Tribolium castaneum: one gene and its partner. The protein of the gene in region 1 purifies or fractionates together with the protein of each later gene. This does not show direct contact. Links are inferred from orthologs where the notes say so. Each region holds a gene or a part of one and is shown on either strand. Other genes may lie near its edges.

What was found. The genes of interacting proteins can lie anywhere in the genome.
Region 2: the proteins of Br140 (region 1) and elg1 purify together in Drosophila melanogaster (affinity purification with mass spectrometry; 3 studies listed by BioGRID, with this or other methods). This does not show direct contact. The link is inferred for Tribolium castaneum from reciprocal best matches to the Drosophila melanogaster genes Br140 and elg1.

What each region holds. Positions count from the first base shown.
Region 1 is NC_087401.1:11,380,600-11,384,939, reverse strand, and holds part of Br140 (peregrin), read left to right. Parts: intron 1-595; coding exon 596-736; intron 737-791; coding exon 792-812; intron 813-868; coding exon 869-1,047; intron 1,048-1,101; coding exon 1,102-1,259; intron 1,260-1,311; coding exon 1,312-1,551; intron 1,552-3,122; coding exon 3,123-4,311; intron 4,312-4,328; exon of another isoform or gene 4,329-4,340. UniProt on the Drosophila melanogaster protein: Scaffold subunit of the histone acetyltransferase (HAT) Enok complex which has histone H3 acetyltransferase activity.
Region 2 is NC_087399.1:3,031,290-3,036,409, reverse strand, and holds elg1 (ATPase family AAA domain-containing protein 5), read right to left. Parts: upstream 3,428-5,120; 5' UTR 3,138-3,427; coding exon 1,376-3,137; intron 1,321-1,375; coding exon 384-1,320; intron 335-383; coding exon 82-334; 3' UTR 43-81; downstream 1-42. Other genes in the region: E3 ubiquitin-protein ligase MARCHF6, read left to right, coding at 4,882-5,120. UniProt on the Drosophila melanogaster protein: Has an important role in DNA replication and in maintaining genome integrity during replication stress. Promotes PCNA deubiquitination.

The DNA of each region.
Region 1 (4,340 bases):
ATTCAGTTTCACAAGAACGGTTCTCTCTTTTTGATAATATTGTTAGTAGTTTTTATTTCTGTTACAATTTTCGGATTATAATAAAATTGTTACTTAGCATAATTTTTGTGTTCCTTCCGTAATTTCACTAGTTCTCATTTTTGTAATATACTTCCTCTGTATTACGTATGTTTTCACAAAAAATCAATCATAACATTTTTATTATCAGTAAGTAGATTAGCACCTGTAACTTTTTTAAAAAGGTAAGCCATTTAGAAAATAAAAGTTGGCAGAATTATGTCCCATCCGTAATCAATAATCATGGAATGGGTGAATTTGGATTAAATTAAATGTCCAGTTAGTTAATTTTCTGTTTTTTTTTAACTAAATAAAGCCATGAGCGCATTTTAAAATACTTTATTTCCTACAGTTCAAGTAAAACTGCTGTAAAACAGTAAGGAAAATGGCTGAAATTTGACGCTTTCTAGCCCCTTTAATCAGTGTTGAACGTATTTTTTAGGCAACCCATTTTTGATACATTCCTTTGATAAAAAATAAATTTCATCGGGTAAGCAGATGAGTGAAGTACGATTCTAATTCGTATCCTTCACTCTAGGTTGAGTATGATGTGGACGAAGAGGACACCACTTGGTTGTCTTTAATGAACGAAAAACGCGAAGCTGCGGGCCTTAACCCCGTCTCGGTGGACTCCCTTGAACTCCTGATGGACCGCTTGGAGAAAGAGTCCTATTTTCAGGTATAACCGCCCCCTCAATTTAAAATCCCTAACCCCAACTTGTATTGTTTTAAAGGTCTATCACGTAAATGGTCAGGTTTGCACTTTGCGAAAAATTCACAAATTCCGTGTTTTATTTCGAGCTGTTTTCAGGCTTCGGTAAACGGTCACACGGGGGCTGTGGTGGACGACGATGCCGTCTGTTGCATTTGCATGGACGGGGAATGCCAAAACACTAATGTTATTTTATTTTGCGACATGTGTAACCTTGCCGTCCATCAGGACTGCTACGGAGTGCCCTATATCCCAGAAGGCCAGTGGCTGTGCCGGAGGTACATATTTAATTTTTTCTACAAATGCAGTTTTACAATTATTGCCAATTTCAGGTGTCTTCAGTCGCCCAGTCGGGCCGTTGATTGCGTCCTGTGCCCCAATCAAGGGGGCGCTTTCAAGCAAACGGACAGGGGGCACTGGGCACATGTCGTTTGTGCCCTGTGGATCCCCGAGGTCCGGTTTGCTAATACCGTTTTTCTCGAACCTATCGGTATATCACGGACGGTGTTACCAACAAGAGAAAAATTTATTCGTTTTTTTAGATTCCATAGAAACCATTCCAGCAGCAAGGTGGAAGCTGACGTGTTACGTGTGCAAACAGAGGGGCGTAGGGGCGTGTATACAGTGTCACAAGACCAATTGCTATTCGGCGTTTCATGTCACGTGTGCACAACAGGCGGGGCTTTACATGAAAATGGACACCGTTAAAGATACGGGGGATTCACAGCCGGTTCTTGTGCAGAAAATCGCCTACTGTGATGTGCATGCGCCCGCGGAGAGCAGTACGTTTCGGGGAAACCCTGTCTTTTACCTTCTTTTTTTTAAATTCATGAGGAAAAACGAAAACCAAATGCTACCAGATTTTAACATTTTTTTTAAATATCTCTATATCCAGTTTAGGTATAAAACCCAAATTTTGGCTAAGTCTACAAGTAATCAAATGCCACACGTTGGTCAAATTTCAGACATTTTTGCGCCACTCTATATAAAATATACAGGTGTGTACTACGAGTTTGTGCCAGATATAACGAAAAAAGAAGAAAAATTTTTATTTTCTTGTCAGAATTTTTATAAAAAAAAACAACTCCTTTTAAACAAGGACAAAAAGTATGTTGGTTCGATTTTATGATGATTTTTTCAATTTCTCTCGATTTTCGGTACCGGGAACATTTATCGAGCAATAACTCCGGAGGTATTAGATGTAAGCCTATGAAGTTTATTATCGTTGGAAAGCTCTTTTAATTATCTATCTTCAAAAAAAAGATCATTGCTTTCCGACTAATACTTTTCGAAAAAATTGCAAACAAATGTAAAAATCGGTAATAATAAAAAAAAATTATAATGAAAAAAGTATTGGAAATTTGGCGATTTTCTCGACGCCAGTCGATTCCTCGGATAATTTTACATAGGTTTGCATCAAAATAGTTACACTTTTTTGAATAGTTTTGTCGTAATTGAGAAAATAAAAAAATTGTTAACACATCAAAATGGACAATTTGAAAAGTGTTTCAAGATTAAAACAATTAAAAGTCATTCTTTCTGATTAATTTTGTGCTATTTACGATGGAATAAAGCTTTTTTCCTGACTTAGTTTCGCCGTAATCAGCGTTTGAAAATTGCAAAAAAAATTTTGAGATATCGCCTTAAAAACTGTGCTATTTGGTAAAGCTTTGGAAATCATTTTTTTCATTTTCCGCTAATTCTGTAGTTTCGCCTAAATCGGCGTTTGAAAATTGTAAAAAAATTGAGAAAGAAAGTGTAAAACACAACTTTTTTTGCGTTTTTCTTGGAAACTATAACACTCAGGGCAAAAATGAAAAAAGGATTAGATGGCGGTTAAAATTTTCTATTTTTTTGTCAAAACCCGGAGCCCCGGGCAACGGTTTCGAATACAGAGGCATTTTAATTTTTTTCACTGAAAAAATTGATAGCTTGAAAACTAAAAGTTGTAAACCAAAAAATAATTCTATTGAATACTACGTATTGTACCAGCATTTTTACAACACTAGCTTACTCGGGAATTTATTTAGAAGCTTATGTATAACTTGAAAACTATTTTGATTTATGAATTTTGCAGTTTGCTCAACATAAATTGATTTCCCGTATTATTTTACGTAAATTGAGAAAATAATAAAATTAAAAAATTTGGAAAAATTCGTCAGTAGTTCCAAGTGATGATAAATTTTGACATTTAGATCGTTCTTTGTTAAATATTTCCGAAACGGGTGTATCTTTAAAACCCATCTTTTGCCCACGTTATTAACTATTACACATGTTGGTCAAAATCGGTGGTGAAATTTTGCGCCCCCCTGTATAAAATATACCGGGCCCTTTCTATAAGTTTTTTTACCAGGTGAGGCGAAAAAAGAAGACGCCCGCCAGAAAATGAAGAAAGCTCGCAAAATGCTTGCGAAAAAACGAACATCGGCTCCGGTCATCCTCATCCCCACCATTCCCCCGGACCGCATCCAAGAAATCGGTGCCTTGGTAACAATTACGAAAAAATCGCAATTTATCCAACGTTTGATCGCTTATTGGACGTTAAAACGCCAATTTCGAAACGGTGTGCCCCTTTTGAGGCGCCTCCAGAGTGCCCAAGGGGGCCCTCGAGACTCCAATACCAGCAACGTTGACACTATTGAGTTGTGTCGGCAGCTGAAGTATTGGCAGTGTTTGAGACAGGACTTAGAACGTGCCCGATTACTGTGCGAATTGGTCCGAAAACGCGAAAAAATCAAACTCGAATCGATCAAAATCTCCGAAAAGTGTCTCAAAATCCAGTTGAAACCACTGGAGGCGAGTTTGCGCCTCGTCCTTGACCTGGTGGCCGCCAAGGACACCAATGAGATATTTAGCGAACCGGTGGACCTTGAGGAGGTTCCAGACTACACCACTGTGGTATCCGAACCCATGGACTTGAGTACCATGAGGAAAAAGCTAGACGATGGTCTGTACCCTGATTTAACTTCGATGGAGAAAGACTTCGATTTAATGATCGCCAATTGTCTCGCTTACAACAATCGCGATACAGTTTTCTACCGGGCGGCCATCAAAATGCGCGATCAGTGTGGCGCCATCTTCCGGCAAGCGCGCAAAGAGCTGGAAACTTGCGGTTTGTTGAACGAAGCGAGTGGCGAAACTCCGGCGTCGGGGAATGAGGAGGCGCTTGCCTCGGATATCGACAAGGAATTGGAGGGTTTGCAAGGGAAGGTGGGGCCAGACGTGATCACGAAACTTGAGGAGTTATTGGTCAAAAGCCAGGCCCTCAAGCACGGATTGGCCCGAGCGAAGCGAGTCAAAGTAGTGCGCAGCGAATTAAACAAGGCTAGGAAGAATCTAGCCAATACGGACAGCTCCCAGTCGGATGGCGAGAACGAAGGGGGCGGGGACTCCAAAAACAGCTCCCAGAGCTCAGGCGTGTCACCTAGTGGTGTCAACCGGCGAACTGCCGTTCTTTTCACGCGCAAAGCGCAGGCGGCTTTGAAAAAACCGGCTGAAGAGAAGGAGGACAAGGGGACTCCGCCCCCCGAAGCCCCCAAGCCGTAAGTAAAGCCAACTATTTGTTTTAAGG
Region 2 (5,120 bases), on another chromosome or scaffold:
GATAACAGGAACAGAACAAGGTAAATAATAATAATAAAAAAATAAAATAAAAACTCGTGCGTTTTATTCAATATACAAAAATCAATCCCAAATTTTAAAAACATCACAGGCCGACTTATACGTGACGTCACTGCCATGCACCCCTAAACCCTTCAAGTAGCTATAAAAGCGGTTCCCCCTCTTCGTACTATTTGCCGCTCTCTCAAATTCGGACCGTGCTATGCTCCTCAAAGCCGGCATATAATCCAAAGCTACGTCCTTCCGGTGTAAACAATCGGCCGGTAATACAGCTTTCTGTAATCTCAGCTCGCACCCGATTTGTTTCGAGCGCCACCTGCAATCAAATTAATCACAAATGGACGATTGACGAGTAACACAGCCACCTTCGTTCCTCTGGAACCGGCAGTGTAACATCAAAATCAACCTTCGAATCCTCAAAATTATTCACTTGGCCACTTAATAAAAATTGCGCTAAATCATTGCTAAAATCACTATAATCTGGAAGAGAAAAATTCTCCTCAAGAGTCAAACTATCCTTTTCTTTGGTCCGCCAAGACCGTTCGAGACTTTCCTCAAACCGGTTTTTTTGACACATGACGTCAGCAAACGCCAACGAATCGTAACAATTGGCCAGCGCTTGCAATTTGTTTTTTTCGGTTTTCCCGGCCGGGAAATCACAAATGTGGCGATTTAACCGATGTTTGGAAAAATCGGGCATTTTTAAAATGCGGGGAAAGTTCCACCAAAGCAACTCAAAATTGTGTAACCAATTAAAAATTGGCACACAATTCGAATGTGTCTGGATTGTGTCACTAGCGCACTCTGTGCCAAAATCGGGCAAGTTTGAATCATCGTCAATGTCAATTGACACACTAGTGGCACCACCAGTGCTACCACCATGATTGCCATCAGGGTGGCCACCCGACTTGACCCACAGTTGTAATTGCAGCAAAGTCCGCCTGATGTCGCCTTTATTGAACGCCAACAACTCGGCAAGTGCCTCGATTTTGACAAAATAACCCTCAATTAGGCACAAAATTTGCAACCAAACTGTCAAAATTGGCGTCAAAGGCGCGAATTGAAACACTCGACAGTCGTTTATGATTCTTTGGATGCCGGCAGATGGCTCGTCGGTCATTGTTAAAACAATTGGCCGCTTGCTTGTTGACATTATCTGCGAGAGGGCAGCACTGAAACCCTCGTCTTGGTCAAAGACAATGTCAATGTCTTCGACCAATAGGACGCATTTGCTCGTGTTTTGTTTTTTCTTGACTTGATGCGACTGGGTGGCTTCTTGTAACTCCTGAAGGAGGCGTTTACCTATCAAAGGCCGGGTTAGAATCAGAGATACCAGCCTAAAAATACAAATACAAACCGGTGCGTTTGCTCGAAGCGTTAACTTCAAGTATGTTGTAACCGAGTTCGGTGCAAATGGCGTAAATGGACGAGGTTTTGCCGCTTCCGGGGGGTCCCCGCAAAATGACAGTGTTGCCAAAAGTGGCACTGTCGCGACTGTCGCTGTCGGTAATTTCGAAATCTGATTCGCTGCCCCGTCTTTTGTGTTCACTGAGCGACCAATGGGAAAGCCAGTCTTTCAAAGATGACACAACTTTGTGGTTCCCGATGATGTCGAGAGAGGAAGTTGCTCGGTATTTCTCGGTCCACATCGTGTGTTCCCGCGATGTAATTTCTGGTGGTTTTTCCAAAGATTTTTTCTTTTTGCGACCGCGGCGTTTCGGTGTTACGTCATTCACGGTTTCAATTATTTGACCACTTTTCTCAAACAATGAATTAAATATCTTATAAACCGGATAATTTGGATTTTGTAATTTTATCTCCTTGATGATTTTTTTTAAATTTGTTATTTTTTGCACAGACTCGTTGACAATTTTATTTTCACCATCACTTCTAGTTATTAAATTTTCGACAAGTGGAGAAATAAATTGCATTTTTTCCTCCACGTTTGCCAGCTTTAAATCAACTTTGGGTAAATCCCAGAAAATATTGTCGGATTTTTGCTGGACGTGACTTAACGACGGGAAAATATCAAAATCCGATTCTTCAGTACTAAAAATTCGCACCTTTTCCATCTCTTTTTTCAAAGAAGACGGAACACCACTCATCAAAAACTGTCTTCTTGCTTCCATTGCTTCCGGATCTAATTTTGGTTTTGGAACAGCTTTTAAGAAAACTGGTGCCACTTTTGTCTTCTTCTTCTTCTCATCGTCCGAATCAGAAAGTTGAAGAAAATCATCGTATTTTTTCGGTTTTCGGGATCGTAAAACTCTGCGTGAGGCATTTTCGTCGGAAACAGAGTTGGCTGGGTCCACGTCGAGTTCGATGACGTCAATGCCACTGTCACTAGACTGCGTATTGACAGGGGCATTTTCAACTATCACCACGTCTGCAACACTTCCTTGGGCATTTTCAACACTCTTTTGAGCATTTTCAACACTTCCTTGGGCATTTTCAACACTTCCTTGAGCATTTTCAACACTTCCTTGGGCATTTTCAACACTTTTTGGGGCATTGTCAACACTTTTTGGGGCATTGTCAACACTTTTTTGGGCATTTTCAACACTTCCTTGGGCATTTTCAACATTTCGTTGACTGTTGACAGACGAATTTTCAACATCACTCCTGTCATCCACGGCCAACTTGATCTTAAATTTCCACTTTTTGTTGGCAGTTGGTGTTTTTGGTGCCTCGTTCTCACTGTCACTTTCAATTACAACAGTTTTCCGCTTCTTCCTTTTAGTGACCACCTCATCGTCACTTTGACAATCAATATTTAGCAACTTTTTCAATCGTTTTCCCCGTTTCTCCAGCTTGTAACTGATGCAATTGCCGACTTCCTCGTACTCTCGTTTACGTTTGGCAGCCCCCTTGGCCTCCGCCCAGCTCTCAAACCGACTTTTCCTCTCCTTTAAGACACTTTTATCCGAGGCTGTTTCCGAGTCGTTTGCGTCAGGTTCACGCCCAGGGGAATTCCCCCCAATGCTCCGATGTCTTCGATTCATCATAAATTGAAACGCGTTGATTTTAGCCCCATTTGGGGAAGTTTCGGGGGTTTCTTCATTGGTGTGCTTGTTTTTCTTTGATTTTTTACCGGTCTTTATTGGAGTTGAATCTTTCATTGTTCCTAAATCATGTTTTGCTTCGATAACACACTAAAAACTGCACTAAAACACAATACAAAAAACTTGGCGCCAAATCAGCGCTTTGTTGACATTTTTTGTAGACTTTAAGGTTAGGTTTCTTGTGGCTAAGGTTACGTAACACGAAATTAAGTGTAATTCACAAACCAAGCCCCACAATTGATATTACGCGATTTGTGATCTTTACTGATACGAAACTGGGTTGTTTTAAGTCAAAATATCAGGGTAAAACCCCGCACAACTCATTATTTGTGTTAGTGACTGGTGGTTTTGTCAGGTTGGTCTTTTCCCGAACTAGCCAACAGTTGGCTTCCTGAGTGAAAGTAAACGTCAGTCTTGTGGTATTACGTCAAAAAATAAATTTTTTCGTCCTGAAAAGCCTCAAAACGCCTAAAAAATTGCAGTTTTTGTCGAATTTCGAGCATTTGTGATCACGCAACTATGGATCTTTGAGTCGGATCCGTAAATTACATAATGTTCTTCACATTCAAGTAGTTTCCTGTGCCAAAAAACATCAGGTAATTTTTTGTCCCAGCTTGTTTATTGTGTTGATTCTTATTAACTAATCAAAAAAAAATCAATTAGTGTGAGTTGTAATCCCTTGATAATAATTTCGTTTATCGGTGGATTGAAAATGTGGGCCATTCGAGGTCTCTGCCCCCAACACATGGCCTGCTAATTGCTAATTTACATAACTGCATCAATGGGGGCTCAATATACTTGAAAAATCCGTGTTTACGATTGGGGGAACTTTGATACGGCCAAGTGAATCATTGGAACAATTCCCAGATTTTTATGTTAAAAATAAATCCCTTGTGTCTGTCACACTACAGATAATGCGTTTTTTATCAGTTTTTGGGCATAATTAACTAACAACAAACGTTTTTTATTATTCTAATTGCAAAAGTAACCTTGAGATAAAATCAGTTGATTTGTGAACGCAAAAAATCGATTTGTTTTGCCGAAAAACAAATGAATAACGACAAAGTACAAAGTGGGAGGTTTGTTTTGTTTTCAATTCAATTGTTCTCATGGGTGTCGTCGCGTTTCGAACGTAGATAATGCAAATATTCAGTTTATTCCGGAATTGGACGATAAAGAAATCGACCAAGGACAGGGTCGGACTAATTAAAAATTGATTCAGTTCGATTGCATCACAATCATGGGAATGAGAAAATCGCAAGGAACGGTCAAGGTTAAGAGATACACAACTCAGTTTTTTCGAGAAATTCAATAATTTAAGTCTGTAAAAACATTCTGTCTCATTTGAGGGGTCTAGTTTCAGCTTTATGCTTTATTAAATTGTTATTAACTTTTCAGGAACGGAAAAAAACTTCATCTTTTGTAATTTATGCTTCTGTTTTGTTTGTTCTTTTTTTTCATATTATGGGGTGGCTCGTGCCTGATAGCAGGTCAAAAAAAAGAGTTGCCAGATTTAAACTTATTTACATCAGAAATGCTCCCAAAAAAAGAAGGGAAAAATAATGGACTTGCATAGAGGGAGAATCTAGTGGAGAGAGCATTAGCGGGAAACTCTGGTTTTTGCACAAACTTTTTCATGGCCACTTCCAAAACTTTCTGTTTAGTACAAATTTTGATCTAGTATAGTTAAAATATTAACCAAATATATTTGGAGAAAATACAGCTCCCCTCTGATTTTTTAGGAATGTTTTTTGATATTTGAGTTACTGTCTTTTTTTTTTTACTGTGTCTTTTCAGCGTAATGATGGACTCGGAACTGTCCAACACCGACATCTGCCGGGTGTGCCGTTCGGAAGGCTTGCCCGACCGCCCCCTGTTCCACCCCTGCATCTGCACGGGCAGCATAAAGTGGATCCATCAGGAATGCCTCATGCAATGGATGCGTTACTCGCGCAAAGAATACTGCGAATTGTGCAGTTATCGTTTCTCCTTCACTCCCATCTACTCCCCCGACATGCCACGCCGCCTCCCTGTGCGAGA